3 linked regions of the Drosophila melanogaster genome follow. The protein of the gene in region 2 interacts with the protein of the main gene of each other region in a pairwise test. Each region holds a gene or a part of one and is shown on either strand. Other genes may lie near its edges.

Evidence for each region.
Region 1: the proteins of Anp (region 2) and Prip interact in a two-hybrid assay, tested with the Drosophila melanogaster proteins (one large-scale study listed by BioGRID).
Region 3: the proteins of Anp (region 2) and CG7910 interact in a two-hybrid assay, tested with the Drosophila melanogaster proteins (one large-scale study listed by BioGRID).

The regions. Positions count from the first base shown.
Region 1 is NT_033778.4:11,432,797-11,442,962, forward strand, and holds Prip (prip), read left to right. Parts: upstream 1-3,446; 5' UTR 3,447-3,626; intron 3,627-7,001; 5' UTR 7,002-7,036; coding exon 7,037-7,072; intron 7,073-7,173; coding exon 7,174-7,329; intron 7,330-7,390; coding exon 7,391-7,534; intron 7,535-8,271; coding exon 8,272-8,694; coding exon of another isoform or gene 8,695-8,742; exon of another isoform or gene 8,743-8,824; intron 8,825-8,853; coding exon 8,854-8,907; 3' UTR 8,908-8,944; coding exon of another isoform or gene 8,945-8,965; 3' UTR 8,966-9,076; intron 9,077-9,138; coding exon of another isoform or gene 9,139-9,174; 3' UTR 9,175-9,420; downstream 9,421-10,166.
Region 2 is NT_033777.3:30,207,122-30,212,044, forward strand, and holds Anp (andropin), read left to right. Parts: upstream 1-2,826; 5' UTR 2,827-2,863; coding exon 2,864-2,959; intron 2,960-3,021; coding exon 3,022-3,099; 3' UTR 3,100-3,261; downstream 3,262-4,923. Other genes in the region: RpS7 (ribosomal protein S7), read right to left, coding at 972-1,304, 1,369-1,536; CecA1 (cecropin A1), read left to right, coding at 3,827-3,925, 3,987-4,079. UniProt on the Drosophila melanogaster protein: Male-specific peptide with moderate activity against Gram-positive bacteria.
Region 3 is NT_033777.3:8,084,222-8,091,130, reverse strand, and holds CG7910 (uncharacterized protein), read right to left. Parts: upstream 3,880-6,909; 5' UTR 3,590-3,879; coding exon 3,419-3,589; intron 3,346-3,418; coding exon 3,120-3,345; intron 3,054-3,119; coding exon 2,542-3,053; intron 2,488-2,541; coding exon 2,362-2,487; intron 2,311-2,361; coding exon 2,038-2,310; intron 1,983-2,037; coding exon 1,698-1,982; 3' UTR 1,605-1,697; downstream 1-1,604. Other genes in the region: mAChR-B (muscarinic acetylcholine Receptor, B-type), read right to left, coding at 5,399-6,909.

The sequences.
Region 1 (10,166 bases), on a different chromosome or scaffold from region 2:
ACTATGTTTCAATAAGGCCGCTGCTTGAGGCTGTTGGCGTTCGGCTTTATTGTGTCTGCTCTTGCGGTTCTCGTTATTGTTTTTTGGCAAGCCTCGGCCCAAGTCCAATTCGAAATGTTGAATTGTTGTTGAGCTATTTGTTTTGCACATTTTCAGTCGCTTGTCGCCGTGCCTGGCCTCTCCTCCATCGTCATCTACATCTCCATCGTCATCTACATCTCCATCTCCATCTCCACTGCGATCTCGAGACTCCATCATATTTTTGCAGCCATGACTAACCTCTGCTTGATGTTGTTGTCGTTGTTGTCTTCGAGTTGTCTTCACGCATGCGCCGTGGGAAATATTTCGACGAGCTTTCGTAGAAACGTATCTTAGATCTTATGCGGGCATCGCAGCCGAATTCTGCCTGCCAATGGATCGCAGATCTAGCTCTAGCTCACATTCTCGCAGCCAAATGTTAAGGTTGATTCTGGCACACGAGGCGTATACTCACTTCCTGTAGCATGCTCGCGGTACACGCTGCGTATGAGCGATGTGGAAGCGCGTGCCGGGGCCAAAAATTGCAGGTAATTAAGCAGAAATAAAAGGCTCCATCCCATCCATCGAAATCGAAAAGTTCGCAGCACTCCAGCATTGATTGACACAAGCACTTGTACTTGTACAATTTGCCATTTGTGTTTACCCAACTTCTTCGGTTTTTGTTCTCGCACTGGCTTTTGTTTTATATAAAAATACATCAAGAACGATTTGTTTTGTTTTCAATTTGTTAAGTTTCATTTTTTCCCCTTTTTTGTTCTGTTGACTGATGGCGTACGTGTTATATATTGAGAGCCCATTAAGATGGGGCACGGTAATGGGCACATAAAAAATGGCAATTGGTGAAAATTTGCTTATATCCGATGCTGATAAGCCATCGCAGATGTTCCGAGGTTTTTTGCCTTTAAGCGGTAATCAAAGCACACTTGACTCGAAAATTCTATATAACAAAACTGAAATAGCACATTGGCTGCGAAAAAAATGTAAGCTTCCGCTAAATGTCTAAAATAAAAGAGAAAACTTCAATTGAAATTCAAGCAGCGATGAAATACAAGTTTTTAAGCATTTAATCTAGATCTGGCATATCAGCAACTTATTTTATAGCTGCGGAAGTAGCTCATCCGAAAATGCACTTCGATTTATCAGTATATATGTATGCGTATGCTGAATCTACTAGACCACGAATGAAACAACGTTTTTTAAACTAATTAAATTGAAATAATCCCTTTGCAAAAAGCCCATTCCCCCAGATCACGTCACTTTGCGACTGCCAGCTTTAAATTCCAGCAATGTCTGATTTAATTAATGGCTTCCCACTCGGGGGCGCTATGACCGGACAATTCTAATTTATTATTTTGCCAGTCAGGACACAATTACTTTGCTTTCCCATATTTCACATTGGGGCTCCATGCCAGCGGAAAAAATAAGCAAAAAGCCCAAGCAAATGGGCGCAATGTCGGGCCAAGGTCATCGCAGGACTATTGTGTTGGTCCTGACTGAAAAGTGGGCGTTGCCCAGGTGTCAAGAGTCAAGTGTCAGAAGGACTCCACTGGTTCATATATTTCCATTCAACTGAAATGTGTACTCGATTTTCCTTTTTGTCCGAACAAAGACGTATTCTTTTTAATCCATGTAAATCAGACAAGATCCTTGACGACGCTAAGTACTTTGTGTGTCATGATTTAAGGGAAGTTTCGTATATGATTTATACTTGTTTGTTTCTCCCAGGCATATTTTTGATAAAACTGGGCTGAGCACATGTAGTTGAATCACAAAATGTCGTCGTTTTCGATAAACGCACTAATTAATCATCCGAAAATTTACATAATTAACTATTCTTTGTTAAGCTATAAAATTTCAGTAACTATGATTTAAGAAATGTAACATAAGAAAATAATATGTTGAATAAAAGAGAAACTCTATAAATAAATAACTACAACGCTTGTCAGTTTAGAATGCGAATGATCATTACAATTAACTAGGAGGTTTCTATCAATCCGATTCGGAGTGAAGTGTATTAGTATTTTTGTACCCGTATCAGCACGTGTTGCATTCAACCGCCTTATTCTTATTTAACTTGTTATCAGTATTAAACCCGTTATTATCTATAACTAATAGTGAAGTACACATAGCCTATACTATAATGTTTCTAATCAGGAAACCTTAAGATAAAGCTAAGTGGTATTTTTAATCTAAGCCAAATTCGCTAGTCTAAAGACGTGACATTAACTTTAAAACCAGGAATGACCTTTTCAGACTCGTCTACACACAATATAATTTTAAATATTACACACTTTTTGGCGAATTTACCCTAATAATTAGCCATTTTATGATTATGATAATAATGAAAATAAAATTAAAATAAAATAAAATAGTTTATAATAATAAAAATAATGTTATATATAAAGGTCGAACAGTTTCAGACCATAATGTAAGCAAACTATACATACAAAGTGTGCCTACGTTGTTTTCGGTGTACTATCTCGATCATTTCTACTCTTATATTTGACTTATACGATTACACTTTATTTTACACCAAGCTCACAGTCATAAAATTGTGATTATACGCATTTATGAGGGCCTCATAAAAGTGTGCTTGGATTTGTGATCTGCGATTTTGCGGTTATTAATTTAAAATGGCAAATATACTTCGAAGACAACACCCATAAAGATAAAGTGAATTTGATTTTACGTCAAAATGTCATGGAAAAGTTCGGTATTCTCTGCTTGGAGTACACTAAATTAATTAAAGAAATTGTTTGTGAAGACATGATTTCTGGGCCGATTTCTCTGATAAGAACACCGAAAAGCAACGGAAACTTTTCTGCAAGCGTCACTGTCTGACGTGAATGATGGGTGGGTGTAAATATTACCCCTAAATAACTATTTGCAGTCCATAAATTTACTGATTGGTCGGAATTTTCAATTTAATATTTTTGCATGGTTTGTGTCTTGGCTGACGCGTGTGGGGTGTGGTGAGTTTCGGTGCCTGGCATGTTGTGTTTTTAAGCGGTGCGCCCGCGCAGCTAAACAATTTCGAATTCATTCCCTTTCAAAACTTTGGATAGTGCAATTAAATTAAATCGATGAAGAATTTGATATATATATCTATAAACGAATAAGTTCTCTGATTAACTTTCTTATACTTACGCATAAAGCTTATATTAAAGCGTATAGAATGTAAACATAAAAGCTCATAAAAACTAATTTGTTTTTAATAATTAGTTACACATTTATATAAACATTTAGTTAATACGCATAATTACATTATTTAGTTTTTTATAATTTAATTAATATAAATGTGCGCTCTTCGCATGAATTTATCTCTCTGCCCCTCTCTCTTTATAAATCGCGCTCTTTCTGCGCCATCGTTTTTGGTGCCTTTGGCTTTTTGCTGCCAAATGCGGTCGCGCAGTTTTTGTCGTCGAGTCAAAGTGCGCGGATCACTCCTCGAGTGAGCTAACAATTCCTGCCGAATTGAATTAAATATTTGTTAAGTGCAAGTTAAGGTGTTAGCTGTTGTTGTTGCCGTTAAGTCGAGTTCGTAAGCAGGTGGCAAAGGTGCCAAAGTGAGCTAATAGCAAAACAAGGTAAACTTCTAATTGAAAGTGATCTTGAAAATGCATAAAGTACATAAACTTTAAATGGGCATATCAAAAAGAGAATATTTCAACATATGTGTATTATTAATGTTTTTAATTAAGTTTAGATCTAATCAAATCAGTTATCCTGCAATATTATGCTGTTAATGGTGTATTTATAAGCTTGTAATCGATTTATTTATATTTAGTTTTTGAGTTTAATATAAACTAATGAAATGTAATTGCTTATATAGCTAAATAGTGACAAATTTAATAATTTAAGTTAAGCAAGTATAATTCAAAGTAACTAAAGTTTCTCCCTGTGCACCGAAACTAATGCTGTAATACCGTTTTGCATTTTTTTCTAACCCCTTACTTCGCCATTTATCAAATCTACTTTGATCTGTTTTCCTCTTGTTATGATTTTTGGAATTTTGTGAGACCGCCCCCGCATGTCAATCGTAAAAATATAACAATTTATGTACAATTTTTACTTTTGACCGCCAGCACGATTCTGAGTAATTAAAAGCCGCGAATATAAAATGTTATTCTTGCCAAAAGATGTGTATTTGAAAATTCATACATTTGGGACATTTCATTGTGCTTTTCATTTTGAAACCAGCGTTGCGTGAAACGATGCGGTCGTGCGATCTGTTTAAGCTTTTAAGATTTCTATATGTTTTGGTATTGTGTTCATTGGCTAATTGTTATTTAGGTACGGCAATGCCATGATCCGATGATATGGTAATGGGTCTTACAGAGCTTGGGGCATTCAGTTCGCTTCATATCTGACACTTGTGATTGATGGGTTGACCGCAGCAATTTTCTGGTCTCTGATTTGGTAATTTAAGTGAAGAATGTCCATCAGAAGCCTGGCTTCACTGTGGCCCCGAACACGTGTGGGAGTTTGGGCTATTAACTTTGCAATTGCCTCTGTGTGTGTGTGGTTTCCCCCCACTTTTATCGCTCCTGCCCCTCCCACGTTCGGCGTTGCATACAAATTTAGGGCTTAAGTAAGTTTTATGGCTTTTTAAGTGACAAAGTTGCGGCAAACAATTGCAAACGTCTATATCGCCAAATGCCATCAGGCGACGAACGCAATTGGAGCTAGGCCAGATACAATAGTTCAAAAACAATGAATATGAAGTCCAGTTCCCTGATTTCAGGCAAAGTTAACAGCTAGTTCCTAAGCTTTAATAGTCTGCATTACATTGTTGTCCCTTAACTTTTTCAAAAAACACTAAAATAGTTAGAGATCATGTGACTGCCATATTGGTAATTACTTTGATGCCAATAAATGCTACTCAAAACGGCAATAGTACCGAAAACACTTGAAAAGTGGTCAAGATAATTTGTATACTCGCTTTTAGAGTCCATAAAAATACATCAAGAAAGCAAAGCCAAAGATATTAGCTCATCAGCTTCAGAAACGGGAGATTTATACCCGTGTTATCGGCATGTTTTTAAATTAATGACGAATGTCTGCGTATGCGGCGATTTTTCTTAACGACATTCTTCAATATTTGCATATAATTAAATTTTATTGGAACACATTTTTAGCCGCCCCTCGGTTCAATTCGGCGAGAGTTCAAGTTCATGAACCCCTTGTTCATACACGTTTCGAAAGTCACAAAAATGCCTCGAATGACGAAAATCAGAACGAAATGCGTTGAAATGCATTCGACTTTGTTGTGTGTGCGAAAATATGTGTGAATTATGTGGATTTTGTTCTCGCCGTTTGTGCTAATTTGTTGAGCAAACTTTTACTTTATTGTTCGGATATTATGCGAATTGGCACGGACCCACTTGTACACTGGCAATTAGCCACATTTGTTGGCGCGCTATTGAAAATTCCAGAATTGGTGAGGGGCATATTGGGTTTCCAATTATAAAACAAGCTTATCATCCATAAATTGCGGCCCGAAATAATCGCAAAGCAAACTTTAATCAGAGCCGATTAATTGCTTAGATTTTTCATTCGAGGACCCAACACCTTGTGGTTGTACATACACCATTTAACCATTCTCATTAGCTGCAACCAAAGTGATAATCAGCACCTGTGAATCCGCACTACGGAATGTCAGTTAGTAGCTGGCCAATTAAAGCATTTCATAGGAACTAATAAAGATTATAATTACATGCTCAAATTGTTGAATCCGTTTTCACAATGCATGATTAACGGTCGATGACAAATATTGAAACTCTCAGGTTTTTACCCCGTTTTCCTCAAACCTCCAGTCAATGGAAATTGTTGTGTGGGTAGATTTTCGCTCTATGGCAAGGCATTCCACTTATCCGTGGGCCCAACCTTAAGTCAACTCAATTACTATTTGATCATCCAGCGCACCCCCTGCACCTCAATTAAGGAATAGAACTCGCTTTTTCATATCAGAGCACTTGAGTCTATTGGCTGATATCGATATGGGGCTCATGCTCGTAGATGACGCAAATGAAACACGAAATTCATTAAGATTGCATTAGAAAAGTAAATACTCGAAGTGATGAACAACTTGAATGCTTTGCGAGCATAGAAAATGGGAATTAACATTGAGCGCTCACTGATTGATTACCAAATGAAATGATATATGCAATATAAATTATTTTATACATACATACTCGTATGTATTTTTAAAGCTCTCGATGTTCTTGATGTGTGGGGGCATGGCCAACAAGTCTTAGCCCATTTTTGGGCCTGTTCGTGACCGCGTTGCGCCAAATAAGAAGAGCAAAGCAAACGCTTTCCACTGATGCCACTCTAGAACACTCTAAAAAAAAACCAGGCCTAATCCCCCCGCGGCTACAAAAACTGCCGGTTAAAAACTCAATTGCGAGTTCTGTTCACTCCTGACGGCGTTGTGCTCAAATATTTACATCGTTTTTATGACCCGTTGCCAATTAAATATTATACACTTTGTTTGTTTTATATATATTCTCACATGCAGCTGCAATTGCTGATAAGCTGGCAGTCGTCGAGTTGAGAGGAGGATTGCCCAGTTACCCACTGGCTGCCTCCAGTTACCCACTTTTAATGACAAGTGCTAAAGTTGAGCATTTAATAAATAAACGTAGATTAAGAATTTTTGGGACACAAGCCTTGAGTTAAATGAAAACCCCTAGACTTTTCCAATTGAAGACCAGACAGAAGTGTCGGCCAATTAGGCATCGTGACGGAAATTGCAGCGGAAATGCAGATTGTCAAAACTGTCACCAAAGGCCAAAACAATATCGCACCTTAAATGAGTGATAAAAGTGGCTAAATACCTGCTGAAGTCGGACAATTGTCCACTTCCATTTTCAAACACATTTCCATTTGCATTTTGGATTGCCATTTGCATTAACTACCAGACATCGTTCACTGATATTTCCGTTGGTCTTTTTTTTCAGTCCGTCAGTTTTAGTTGAAAAGTGAAGCGAAGAAGATGGGAAAATTCGAATACTCACTGGGTCTCAATGAGGTGAGTGCAAATCATACAAAGACAAAGTTTAATCGAAATACCAGTCAGTTATTAAAAATATCATTAAATAATGCTACTTTACTTATTAATTTGTCTTCTAGCTCAAATCCAAGGAGCTGCGATTGTGGCAGGCCTTGATTGGAGAATTCCTTGGCAATTTGATCCTCAATTTCTTTGCCTGCGGCGCATGCACCCAAATTGAGGATGGCACCTTCAAGGCCTTGGCTTTTGGCCTGGCTATCTTCATGGCCATCACGGTGGGTGGCTCGTTAATCTACGACATTATTCATACCCATATTCAACTATATATCCTTGCAGATTGTGGGCCACTTGAGTGGTGGTCATGTGAATCCTGCCGTTACCGCTGGAATGTTGGTCGCAGGACGAATTAGCTTGATCAGAGCCTTTTTCTATGTGGTTTTCCAGTGCTTGGGTGCAATTGCCGGAACTGCAGCGGTTAAGGTAGGCATTACACACATAAATTATTACATACATCTGAGTGAAATTATTAAAACAAAATACTCATCAGATTCCACTATTTCTTATATCATCATCATCAATTATATAGAGGTCGTCATTATGACAAAAAAATCTAACCTATCTTTACTTCTATGGTATATCTACAAAACAGCATTGCCAAAGAAAAGTCATTTGGCTTGTAAGTGTCTCAATCAGAACTGCCAGATTTCAAAATCAAATCCAAAATGTAGTCAATTAAAAAAATGTATAAATAATAATAAATATAAATACTTACTCGTTGTAAGATGATTGTTTGCAATGCTTTTGAGCTTATCTCGCTTTCTTAAAATAACACACTGAGACACATATGTACATACATGTTATTAAGTTTATTATTGTGATTGCCTCACATCCGGTTGCGGTTAAAAATGCCTTGTGTTTTGACCATTACTTTCTTTCGTTGAGTGGATAAATGATACGGGTACGCCAATGTCAAGAAAGTACTTTGATTAAATACTCGTATTTTTCGGTTTTATTTTGTATTAAAAACTACACATTTTAAAAAACAAATGATTTAGTAGAAATCACCAGTTCAATGAATCAACTTAAAATCTAATAGTTTAAAGTATTTTTACATACTCAACAAAACTAAGAGCTATATTTATTTTTAAGATTAAGATATCTAATCTAATCTATCTATCTATCTATATATAAATATTTTTTTTATACCAACACATTAGATTCTCATCGATCAGGACTATTACAATGGCCTGGGTCACACCTCTCTGGCGCCCAATATCACCGAGCTGCAGGGCCTGGGAATCGAGTTCTTCCTGGGACTCCTGCTGGTGCTCGTCGTCTTTGGGGCCTGTGATCCCCACAAGCCCGATTCCCGCTACACGGCGCCCTTGGCCATCGGAATGGCGGTGACCCTGGGTCACTTGGGCACCATCCGCTACACCGGGGCCAGCATGAATCCCGCTCGCACCGTGGGCACCGCCTTTGCCACCGACATCTGGGCGTCGCATTGGGTATACTGGGTGGGACCTGTGCTGGGGGGCGTGGCTGCCGCCCTGCTCTACACCCAGGTCCTGGAGGCGAAGCCCGTGCCAAAGGTTAACGAGGCATCCGAGAAGTACCGAACGCACGCCGATGAACGCGAGGTGAGAGTCAGGTTGATAAGCGCCTGGAGCGAGGAGTCCTTCTACTGATCCGTGATTCCGCCCACCCATTACACACACACACACACACACACACCCATCACACACACAAACACTCACTCACACTTGCATTGTAAATACTCCCGAATTACTTGATTTCAGGGATGCAAACCGAACCACAACCCGAACCATTTGGCATATACATATCTCGCTTAACTATAACTATTAAATGTGTTATGTTTTATCGCTTTAGCAGCAGATATTCGTATACTAAAGATATTACGACCTGCACGCAAAACTAATCTAAACCGCTTTTGTGAACCGAATACGATTGGTTTAGAAACTCTTCAATCCTATCAACCGAACCCGTCCGCCATTTCGATCGGTTTGCATCCCTGTTTAATTAGCTAACTAAATTTTGTATTATTGCAATTTATTTACTTGCAGATGCGCAAACTGGAGGGAGCCCGTGACTACGCCTAGATATAAAGAAATCTTTGCGACTCGAATCTAGGGATACAGATGAAATCTGTGTGTTTAATCCATTCATTTCAGTGTCTAACATAAACATGTCGTGTTCTTCTACGTTCGTGTGTATTTATGTATTTATTCATGCAAAATTCATTTTTAACTAACTAATATTTAATGTGTAAGCTGCCCTAAAATGCAATCTACAACAAAATTACTTGTACTCTCATGCGCTCACAATAAAGTGGAAAACATTAACTGAAACAAACTGGTGTTTATCGATTTTGTATCTTAATATAAAATAAAATATTACTATAAAATTGCTATACCCATGAAAAAATTTAAGCAATTCAATAAAATTCGAAATAAAATATAGCTAGCTAAAATTTTCATTGGTTTTTGCATCTTTAAAAAGAGCGCAATGAAAAGCTTATGCTGCAAGCTTTTCCGGCCGAGTTTCCCAACACTCGGTATGCGGAAAAGCTCCGTGGCAGCATACGGCAAAAGCGCCATGCGCCAAAACTGTCAAAAAGCGTTAAGGGAAAATCGGAAAATCCGCAGTCGTCCCCGTCGTTGGCCATGTAGTTGCGTGTGACCTGCTAAATAAATTACAAAATTAACAAATAAAAAACGTCTATCGACACTAATTGGCCACAACTTACTGTTCAACAATTGATAAATTATTCGAATTAGTGAATTAAACAATTGGCAAGTGTGCACAGTTAAGTGAAAGGCCAGATGAAAATCAAGGCAAAGCGATGCACTAAAGTGTTGTGGGCCAAATCAATAGAAAAGCAGTGAAGGAGAAAAGTCACCAATCGACGGAAAAGCGACCGAGACCACGGCGAGGGTCGAATGCAAATTGCAGTAGACCTCGTTAAGGCTAAGAACACAAGTTGGCCGAGTTAAGCTGGCCAATCGATTCCGAGAATCGGGACCATCTTATGAAACAACGGCCCAACCGCCGACCCGGAAAAGTGTGAAACGAAAGGAAAGGAAAAGTGAAA
Region 2 (4,923 bases):
CCAAAGTATTCAAGGGCTAAGTGTTGATTGACATGAATGTGGCGCATATAGTAATGCAGTAGCCGTTGAGAGTCGGCTCAACATTGTGGAGTGATTAGCGGCAGTTAATCTACGTTCTGTTTGACAATCGCTGAGCTTAGGTAATCGCTTAGCGAATAACACAAGAACGGAGTTCACAATTAGCATTCTCGTGGATATTCAACTGTAGCAATCCTTTAGTAATGATGCAGTCCTGGTAAAGTAGACCCACCATTGTGGAGTGATTCGTTGCTTCAGTTTGCGTTCTGTTTGACGCTCGCTAGGCCATGAAAAGATCTAGCGAATAACACAAGAACGGTGGTAGAAACCAAGGTATTTAAAAGATTCTACGAGAGTGTGGCGAGCCGAAAAGTAATGCAGTAGCCCTGGAAAGCCGGCTCAACATTGTGGAGTGATAGCCGCATTAATTTACGTTCTGTTTGACAATCACTGGCTTTGGATGTAACTTCCAGCAAATAACACAAAAACGATAGAAAGTTCTATGTACATTTAAACATATAATCTTTCTATCCATCTGTTATCCCCCTTATTTGACTTTTCATTCTACTGTTTAAATGGTTTCAAGTATCGATTTGAGTGTGTAATGATGTGGCGAGCCGGAAAGTAATGCAGTAACCGTGAAAACTCGGCTCAACATTGTGGAGTGATAAGCTGCCATTAATGTACGTTCTGTTTGACAATCACTGGCTTTGGAAGGACAGCCAGCGAAAAACACAAGAACGATGTATCAAAAGACCAACTGTGGCCAATATTTGGAGATGCAGGACCGCAATGGCTTCTAATGCCTGCAATAACGAGTAATTGGCCCTGACTGTTCTGCGTCCCCTGGCGAAGATTGAGCTCCATGGCACGGAAGGCCCAAATATCGAGGGTACGCGCCTGCTAACACACACGATGCACTCTTCTTTGAGGTGGAGGATGCTTATGCTTACTTTGTGTTCAATGGTGGTCTGCTGGTTCTTGTCCAGGTGCACCTTGACCAGCTGGGAGCCGTCCAGCTTGACGCGGATGCGCTTGCCCACAATCTCGGCGGGGAAGACCAGATCCTCAAGGATGGCGTCGTACACAGCGGTCAGAGTCCTGGAGCGTGGACGCTTCTGCTTGAGGGGGTTGCGGGCCTTGCGCGTGGGCTTGGGCAGGATCTTGCGCTCCGCAATCACGACGACGTGCTTGCCCGAGAACTTCTTCTCCAGCTCGCGGACCAGGATGATCTGGATCTTCTGGAACACCTTCTGCTGTGGAATGGGCACGTAGATGATGACGGCCTGCGTGCAGAGTGGGTTACGGATTACTATTGAAGGCTCCACATGTACGCCATATACTGTTTACCTTCTTGCTGCCGAACTCGATCTCGCGGGCACGGGTGATGTGCAGATCGCGCAGGTAGGGCTTCAGGTCGCTGTTGGCCTCGAGTTCCACCAACGCCTGGGCAATGGACTTCTCGAAGTCATCGGGATCCGAGCCGCCGGGCTTGATAATCTTGGAGCCGATAGCCATCTGCAATGTTCATCACCGGTATTTTAGCTTTCGGTTCAATTACAAACACAAAATTCGCTGCGGCAGACGCTTCCCCACAACGCAGTACAATCACAAATCGCCGGCAATCGGCGTTATTTCGCCAGCATTTCTCTGGATTCACAAGAAAATCGTAATTTGCCATTATCATTGCGGCCTTTTCTCTTATTATTTCGCTGCACTGCGTTGTGGCGACCGCGTATTTTGGCCATTTTCGGCGACGGAAGAAAAAAAGTACCACCTTTGTCGACTATTTTGACAGGAAAGGAAGTCGAGCCACGACGTAGAGGTGGAAAACAGAGCGAGTTGTTATCGATGAGACACGCGCGAACGTTGTGCGATACTATCGATACAGTTGCAGGAGCAATTACTCGTCGAAAATACGAGGGATGGCTAAATATATAAAATTTAACATTATAACATAACATCCATTCAAGAAAATTTGATTATATTTCTTTGAAGTGTTTCAGCGTTTTAATGTTTTGCGTGTAAAAATCGATAGTTCTCAGCAAAGATTGTGTATAACGAATTTATGAGTTAGCATCGATAAGTTTGTATGCCACTATGGGTTTATGTTTGGAAAAACTTTATTATAAAATTTTTTTTTAATAAGTTAAGTTGTTAGCCTATAAAATTAAAAAAATTGTTGTATGAACAATATAAAATGTTTCTTTGAAAATATATATCGATAGGTTCGTTTAGGGTTATCTACCATGCTTCAGCGGCGAGTATCACCACTTATGTTGCGATTAAAGCCCCACAGGGGGCGCAATTGTTACCACATGTAACGTTTTTTAAAAAAAAGTAATTACACAGATTTTGGATTTTGGAATGGATTTCCATAAATTAGGAATTTAATGAGATTATTAACAACATAATAAAAAATATTAGTTATTGCCTTAAATATATGTGTAGATAATATTTACGCAGACATATTTAATCTTTTCAACGGACATTTTTAAGTTGATAATATTGATAATATAATATATGTAAATTCCAGTGCCATTTGCCGTATGAGTTTTAACCTACAGAATTGTAGAACTTAATTACTATAGAACACTATTGAATGAAAACTTAGTAACTTGTTGAGGTTTTTAGTAATTCCAAGAAATATGCTCTTGAATAAAAAACCTTTTTAAGTCTCTTTCAATGCAAAAACACGAGTTCTTTTTTTTTACATATTGTAATTAATATGTTTAAGGTCTAATTATTATTGTAAACGTTTTTCGGTGGGTTGATTGCCTATAAAGCCACTTGTTTTTCAGTCTAAATCATCAGTGTAAAATTCGGAAAACCCAGCGATCTAGTTATGAAATACTTTGTGGTCCTTGTCGTCCTGGCCCTCATTTTGGCCATCAGCGTGGGTCCTTCGGATGCAGTATTTATTGATATTCTTGACAAAGTGGTTTGTTTCTTCTTTAAACAATTGTAGTTTACAATGAAGCTTAAACATTTGTATTTCTACAGGAAAACGCAATACACAATGCTGCTCAAGTGGGAATTGGCTTTGCTAAGCCCTTTGAAAAATTGATCAATCCGAAGTAATTCTGCACTGCAATTTAATTAATGTATCGTTTAACGAAAATAAACACAAATTTTAAAATCTGAAAAACAACTAAGTTACTAACGCAAGACTTTTAGTTAAGTTAGTTAATATAGACCGAGATGTATGTACATACATACCGCTTTCGCTTACAATAAAATGTTAAATAAGTTTTCAGATTCGTACGTGCTCAGTAAACAATTATTTTTTATTGTCATTTAATGCCTATTGAATTTTTCAAACTTAATTTAGTGCCTTTAGTAAAATATTGTAGTGATTCCCCTCGAAAAATACCACAAATTGGATGCGTTTATGTAAATAAATTGCCCTTGAGTGATAGAGTAAATTTGAATTTGACTGTCTTAGAAAGATAGAAAGAGATCAATTCAAAATGCCAAAAGGATAGAGTTATTAAAGCTCTAATTCAAATTGGCCCAGAACCGTTTAAAGGATATTACAATTTGTAATTTACATATTTGGATTATAGCATTGAAATCCCCGATTGTTCCCTAGATGTGCAGATGTGTGCTTGGAATCAGATCGGTTACCTTCAGTGTACTTTTCTCTGCAAAAATCCCCGTGCATGCCTTATCTGTCATTTTGTTTTTCAAGCTGGCTGTTCGCCTATAAAAGCTCTCGCCTTTTGTATCGCAGTCATCAGTCGCTCAGACCTCACTGCAATATCAATATCTTTAGCTTCTCCTAAGAAAAAATCAAGAAAATATCACCATGAACTTCTACAACATCTTCGTTTTCGTCGCTCTCATTCTGGCCATCACCATTGGACAATCGGAAGCTGGGTGGCTGAAGAAAATTGGCAAGAAAATCGTAAGTTCTTCCATTTGAAATCTGTTAAGACGGAAACTAACTGACTAACTTCTTTTCGAAGGAACGCGTTGGTCAGCACACTCGGGATGCCACAATCCAGGGACTGGGAATCGCTCAACAAGCCGCCAATGTCGCCGCAACTGCCCGAGGTTGACCACGATGATTATTTATAATTATTTATTTAAAGATCTATTTATTCTGTTGCTCCCTGTAAATAAAACAATTTTAAAAATTTAAAGAATTCTATTCAAACTTTGTTTTTTAAAGAGTTGGAGAAAAGCGAACTCTTGAATTTATACACACATTTTAAATACACTTAAGAGGCATTATTTATACAGGATATTACAAATCGCTTCTTTTCCGATTTGGAAAGGCCGAGATTATGTCTTATCTGTTGAAATATAATTCGTTTCACCTATAAAAGGACCAGTCTTTTAGTTTAAATTATCAGTCGCTTGTCAAATACTGAAACAATTAGATTAATTTGTGGATTTTATTTGTCCTCATCCTGACCACTTATTGGCCACAATTGGAAGCTGGCTTCGACGGGACATTAGTAAGCTTAGTCATTTTAAAAGATTTCTTTGCATCTAACTATGATTCTAAATCCTCAGAAGGACGTTGGTCTATACACCCTAAATGCTACCCTGCAAGTTGCTGAAGTCGCTTCGAAAGCAGCCAATGTGGCAATCACTGCCAGGGGATAAACTTAAGTTAGGGTATTATTTATAAGAAATTAAATTAATAGATTTTATTTTATATATTTTTTGTATATTGTTATTCAAACTGATAATGTAATATACGCTTTTCAAACGATCATTCCAAATCAGTTGTGGGCTTATCGCAAATGATTTCGTAGTGTTTTTATTTTGATTGATTCAAAGAAGGGGTTTCCTCTCTGATTCTTAGTCTCCCGCATTGACGAGGTAAAAAATCCCTATGCATATGAAATATGCAAATTTAAAAATCCCCCAATCCGACAGGTTGGTTTTGATCGG
Region 3 (6,909 bases), about 22 Mb from region 2:
ACTTAAAATAAGAAAAAATCAAAATCAAAACACACCACAACAAACAGAAATAGAAGAAACTCCATTTCCCACACTATATCCATCAATCCCAGCCCAAGTATAGGCTTCTCTTTAAGGGAAGGGGAGTGACGTATTTGGGTGGTCCAAACCAGCCACTTCCATTATTTCAAAGAAATCAGTAATGCACTCTAGTAATTTTCCATAACGTATCCCAGCTGCGCAGCATTTGTTTATCTTTGGCAGCGCAGCCGTTCTTGTAAACATCCTAAAGCCTGACCTAAGCAGATTTGACTGCCCTCTTTCAACGCTACCTAATCTTAAGAACCCAAGAGCGAGGCTCTCCCGAAATACAAATATTGTTCAAATACTGAGGCTTCTCCTCAATCCAATTTGCATTTGATTTTTAGTCTTAAGCTGAGATCCAAAGAATAAAGTCGTGAAACTATTTCTCCTAAAAACTATTTTTTATTTCTTGGCGTTGTCCTTAGTCAACTGACGGGACATTAGTTCGACTCATAAATAAAACAACAATTTTACTATATAGGGTAGGGAAGGTGCTGATAAGGTGGAAGGAAGAGGTGGAGAGTTTTTTACGAAACGTAAACAATTTCGCAGCGAGAGTGGAGTGATTGACTAAGAGAGGCTATAACTAATTCTCTACACTCGCGGTACCGAAACACTGATTGATTCGGGATCTCACTCTTTTACAAAGTCTGGAATAATGGCGGTTAGAATCCCCTGGTGCCTTAGATCTTTCGGCAATGCGGTGAGTACTTCAAAAAGGAGTATTTTTAATACTAAAGAAAATAAATTTTTAATTCTACGAATAGAGTATTTTATATTTTGATTTAACATTTCATATTATTAGCATTATTCGACTTCAAAGTTCTCCCTGTCAGATACGGAATTCAAGTCCTCGACACCCTCATCTTGGTCCGAATCCTCATAGATTGGTTGCACCGATGAATGATGACCACCAAAACCAGGTCTAGTGGTCCTGTGATAGCTCCCATTTCGAATTGGGGCTGGGTTACTCCAAGCAGCATGGTTTATCTCATGATTCACAAAAATGTTCCCATTTTCATCGGGACTTGTCCTTCTTAAGCTATAGATTCCTGGCTCGTCCTTGAGGGCAATCAAACATTAAAGCAATGGCAAATTAAAATTTTAAGCACTTACGGAAATTTCAATTTGGTTTTCCATAGGATTGTCAGTCTGCGATGGAAATGTAATTGACGGGGCTCAGCACATAATGCATTATTTTTGTACTCACTCTATGTTGTCTTCGAAGCCTAAAAATATTACCCATTTCAATGGTTGTAATTGCAAGGTTGATTAAGTTGATTAAAATGCGAAGATTTCAGCTGAAGTGCCGATAGACGTAGGATATTCTATCGCTTCGCAGAGTGCCCATTTGTCTTAGATATCGATTTTGAGTCAAGCTAACGTCAATATAACGTTGTTGCAGGTCAGCTTTAGAGGGACTGTACACAAAACTAAAAAGTTATATTGATCTATCGAAAAATGTTATGGAAATAAAAAAAAAAAAAAACACTCCAATATAAACAAATATTGGTGGTCATTTATTAAACGAAGTTCACTTTAATCTTCACAACTATATTAGCACTTTAAACAAAATTTAACCTTTAACCTTAAATGGAAAACTGAGCAGGTACCCCCGATCCTCGCTTGGTGTTTCATGTGTCATGTGGTACCGGTGGCACCCAGCCGTGAAAAACGGCCTCCAGTTCGGCGGCGACCTTCAGGCAGAGTTTGTCCTGATATTGGGCGGCCACCACCTGCAACCCTATGGGCATTCCCCGTTGATTTGTGCCCATGGGCACATGGGTGGCGGGCAGACCAAGGATGTTGAACAGCAGCAGATTGTCGATCCCCGTCACGTTTAACAGCGAGGTGTGAAAACATAGGGCGCTAGTGTGGAAGGTGGGCATGATGAGGACTCCTTGGGTACCAAGCAATTGCTGTGATGGGTTTTAAATGGTCAGTATAACTTCAAGAATGATTTAATTCGCTTACATTCAGATGGCTCTTTATTTTCTGGGCCTCAACTCGGTATTCTTCCATGTTTCCAGTGGCCATAAGGCCGTTGAATCGCTTCATCACCTCCAGTACCATGGCCTCTTTGGTGAAGATTGAGTGACCTATGATGCTGTTGAAGAGTTCCACCATCAGCAAACGCATCGATGGATCACGATCCGCCCGCTGTGTTACGATACTGGGCAGACCCTTCAAGTCCACCAGGGAAACCAGGGCAATCTCGAGAGAGTTTCTCAGGAATTTAAGATCCAACTGATTGGCAAAATAGCATTAGGTCGAGAAACTCTACAAAGTTGTACTTACCTTCTTGGACTGCACACCTCCTCTTTCCAAGCACGTGACAGCTTTGGTGATGGCCAGTTTTATGTCGAAGTCCACCACGGGATGGGTGAGGCAGTTAAAGCCGGAGTATCCAAAGGCATAGTATACCTAAGCGAAAATAAGCTTTGACTATTATACATTTCCTAGTTTGGGAAATCTCACCTTCATGTCCTTCAGGGCAACTGGTTCAGACATTTTCAGTTTGTGTTTTTTATCGCCCGCCATTATTTCCAACAGCAAGGGCAAATCCCTGGCGAATCTTGTGATGGGACCGATCTGCAGCATCTCGGAGAATTTCTTGTCCGTCAACGAGTAGGGGAAGTGACCCTTGACCGACGTAAGCCCGCCAGTGGGCTTGTGGCCAAAAACGCCGCAGAACAGAGCCGGCAGGCGAATGGAACCACTGATATCGGAGCCCACACCAAAAGTTGTGGCTCCACAGCCATTCAATGATGCCTCGCCGCCAGAAGATCCGGCGGAAGTTCGTTGCAGATCATATGGATTCAAGCAACGTCCTTGGATATTATTGCTGGTTTCGAAACTCATGCAAAACTCTGGATTGGCAGACACCAAAAGGGGTATGCCACCAGCAGCACGGACCAGTTCAACCACATCGCCGTCCTGGGGGGCTTTCATATTTTTGCGAGCAAGACTGCCCACGGCAAAGGATAATCCTATTAACCAGTGAAAAATATAAGTTTCTGCTATATTTTTAGTGATTTTGAGTATCTGAAACATACCTTTAAGACCACATGACTCCTTGACAGTAAACGGTACACCCAGTATGGGATACTTGGTGTACAGGGCCACACGATCGAACTCAGAGCTCGCCTTTTCGATGAACTGATCTGCCAATTTTGCATCTTGGAGGGCAGCCTCGAATCGATCCTCGACAACGGCATTCAGAGAAGGATTCACTTCCTGCACACGTGCTATATAGGCGCTAACCAACTCCACCGAGGTGATCTGGAATCGAACCCCGACATATATGACTTGCAAATGTCCCACACGAATGACGCGATTGGACTTGGAGACTCACCTCGCCGCGTCGCAATTGGGTGACCAATTCAACGACGGACTTCTTCAGCAGGGGATTACGAATGCCCGAAAATTTGGGTTTCTGACGGGGCAATACAAAATCTAGAATCTTATTCACCAACATGCCAAAGGCATTCAGAATGAAGGCCAGCAGTCGTAGAATGATCTCCATGTCGAGCAGGCGTTCGGGTCACAAAAGGTTGGGGTATTCAAATCACTGGACTTTGATCGGACCTCAGCGTAAGTGGGTTAACTATAGCTGACGTTGGTTTGCCTAGGAGGTGGTATGGGGATCGGGAACTGCTGCTGCACCTGGAACACCACCGAACACTTCGACTGCGGATCGTGGACTACGCGTGGCGATTGACACTCGCACTTATCGTCCCTTGTTTTCCATTTCAATTTGAATTTAATTTCAAAGTTAGCTCGGGTTGGCATTAACCAACACTATATAAACTTTGGATGTTCTCGTTTTCGAAAATCATTTTGAAAAAAAAAAATACTTAAAGAAAAAATAGCTCTGGCTTTTAACTCAAATTAATTTAAAGAATTCAATTAACAATAATTTAAAACCAATTGAAAGTAGTCGCTACACTTCTAAAAATAAAATCATTACTTACCTAAAAAAAGCGTCACCCTTCGTATCATAAAAAATGCAATTATTCATTCATTTATTTATTTAGTAATAATTTTAGTTATTGTTACACTTATCACTTACGTGCTAAATGGAAACGTTCAACAAAAGCAAAAACTTGTTTAGCACATTACTCACTGGAAAACGAATCGAATCGGCTAACGAAACGGTTAACAAATAACAAAGTACTTCAACCGAGAACAAAGATTTTCAGAATGAGAGTGAACTCAGTTAGGCAACTTGGCAAAGGCGCTAAGGAGACGTCTATATATCCGTATAAGTATAAGTTGCTGGCTTGCGCAAAAATTGACATCTATGTAGCTATATGTATGTATCTTCGTATGCTCTACACTCATGAATATTCAAACAAAACTCTTCAACTTGTCTGGCATATATCCATAGACAATTACGCGGGTATGTATGCTGGGTTTTGTGTTCTTAAAATCGTATATCTGCTGCAGGATTGACATCGAACTGCTTAACCCCACGACGGCAACCATTCGTCGAAAAAGTTTGAACACAGTTTATATTTTTGCAATATTCTAAGTACTATAACCTACCAAAATAACTGTAAAAGAAAGTTTCTATGAACGTTTGAAATCAAAATTAGGTCCGATTTTGCGTAGTTTTCGACAAAGTGTCACCGTCAAAAGGGCTTCGACTGGCATATCCCTCAAAGGGTTAACATGCTTTTCTTTGGTCTTCTTATGGCCTACCCCCTTCATATGTCTGCTTTTCATTGATATATTCTGCGGAACAACAAAAGAAGTATTATTCTATATTGGGATATGCTTTAGAGTTTTGGTTTGTAGGGTTTTCTAGTCTCGGTAAATGTGTATATCTTATGCTTAATTTATTTTATTAGCTATCATATCATATACTTTGCATGGTTATCATAGATTGGTTATTAACATTAAAATATTTATTGTCTAAAACATTTCGCCCCGCTTAGTGCCACTCTAGACCTATGTATGCATCCCAAATCGGATTGCTTGTTTTCCCCCCCAACGATTCTAACTATAGCACACACCTTTGGCTACTTACAGATAACTCTTCCCTGTCCACCGATTAAATTTTGAATTTAATAAGTGTTTGATTCTAATACTTTGCTGATGGTCGAAATCCAGCAGATATTCCATTAAGCGGAGCACTTTCGTTGGGTATGTATAGAAAACTTATGGGCCTAAGGAGGTGTAAGGGGTTTGGGAATGGAAAAGTTTGCAAGGCGCCAGACTCTCGGGGCTCTGAAGTGTCTGGTCCTTTGCGCAAGTGCAGTGCAAAATGGAAATCTATCAGGGATTTAACTCAACCACCAGCAGCTTAACCACTTCAGATCCCCAAACCATCTTAGGTCATGTGCAGATCCCCCTTGAGGATCCGCGTAAAGGTCTTCTTGAACTGCTGATTGGCCAGAGCGTAGCAAAAAGGATTCATCGGGCTGTTGGCGTAGCAGAGGAAGTACGAGAACATGTAGAGGTGTTCATTGATGCAGGGCGGATGCCGGCAGAATCCCTCGACGAGGGCCAACACATGGTAGGGTGTCCAGCAGGCCACGAAGCAGCCCAAAATGAACGAGATCGTGCGAAACGCTTTGCGAGCACGATTCTCCGACTTGGACTTCTGCCGTCCACCCACTCCAAGGATCAGGGGTAGAGCCTTCTTGCTCTTGAAGTGCTTTCCTATCGAATGAATGAATGCCCTTTTGCTGGAGTTTCGGCTGGCCGCCAAACTCTTCTCCTCCCTGTTGGCATCGTCATCCCCCGCGTTCTTTTTGGTGGCACCAACACCGTCTTGTTCCCCGCCTCCACCCACACCGCCCGTACTGCTGGTGGTGCCCGAGGTGGAGGGCATCTTGTTGGTATTACTGTCCGAGGTTTCTCGCTCCTCAATCCTTTCCAGTGGCACCGGTGGTGTTACACCCGCCGCCGACTGGGGCGTTCCCGTTTGTGGCGTTGAAGTCTTTACCTTGGGTGAGAGTGGCATTGGTGGCATCGGGGAATAGAGTATGGCATCCTTGCTGCTGGTCTCCATAGGACTGGAGGCCCGGCGATGGGGACAGTCCGCAGCTAGCTTTCCGGGCACATCCAACAGGCAGATGGCCTCAATGCAGCTCTCCCGCCTCACCTTAGCAAAGTCCTCGATTCCTGTGTACGAGACGAGAAGACGTTTTTCAATGGCCACCGCCTCCTCGATACTCTGACTCTGACTCTGGTTGTGATTCGGATTCAGGTTGAGGCTCAGGCTTTGGCTGGGACTCTGGTTTTGGCTGGGAGTTTGACTGAGGCTCTGGTTCAGGTTCGATTTTGGTGGATTTCGGCGTGCGGGCGGTGGTGGAGGCAGGACTGGTGGTTTCCCCTGGACGCTGTCATTCGGGGAGGTCGTCGAGTTGGCCGTCACACTGGCCAGCATGGCGGAGCTCTCGTCCATATAGCGTAGCTCCGAGTTCGTCATCAGGTCATAGGTCAGGGCCAGTTCACTGTTACCGGAACTATTCCCAAAGGGACGATCCGAGTAGTCATCGGAGAGCGGGGTGGGGCACTGAAAGGCGTCGGGAGGTGGCAAAATGGTCTGCACCAGACCCTGATGCACTTGATCGCTAGGGACCTCGATGGGTGCCAAGTCCACGGGGGACAGGGGATCACTGGTGTTGAGTAATGTTGGAGGAGCGGACAGGTCGACCAAACGATCATGCTCGGCTATCTGGGACAGTGTGGAGCAGGATGTGCGCTTGGGCCTGTCCAGCGGTGGGTTCGGCTGGTTTTGGTGGTGCTGGTGGTGCGGTTGTTGCTGGTTCTGGTGGTGGTGCAGGGAGCGCATCTCTTCCTTGCTCTGCGCCCGCTGTAACGGACTCTGGTTGT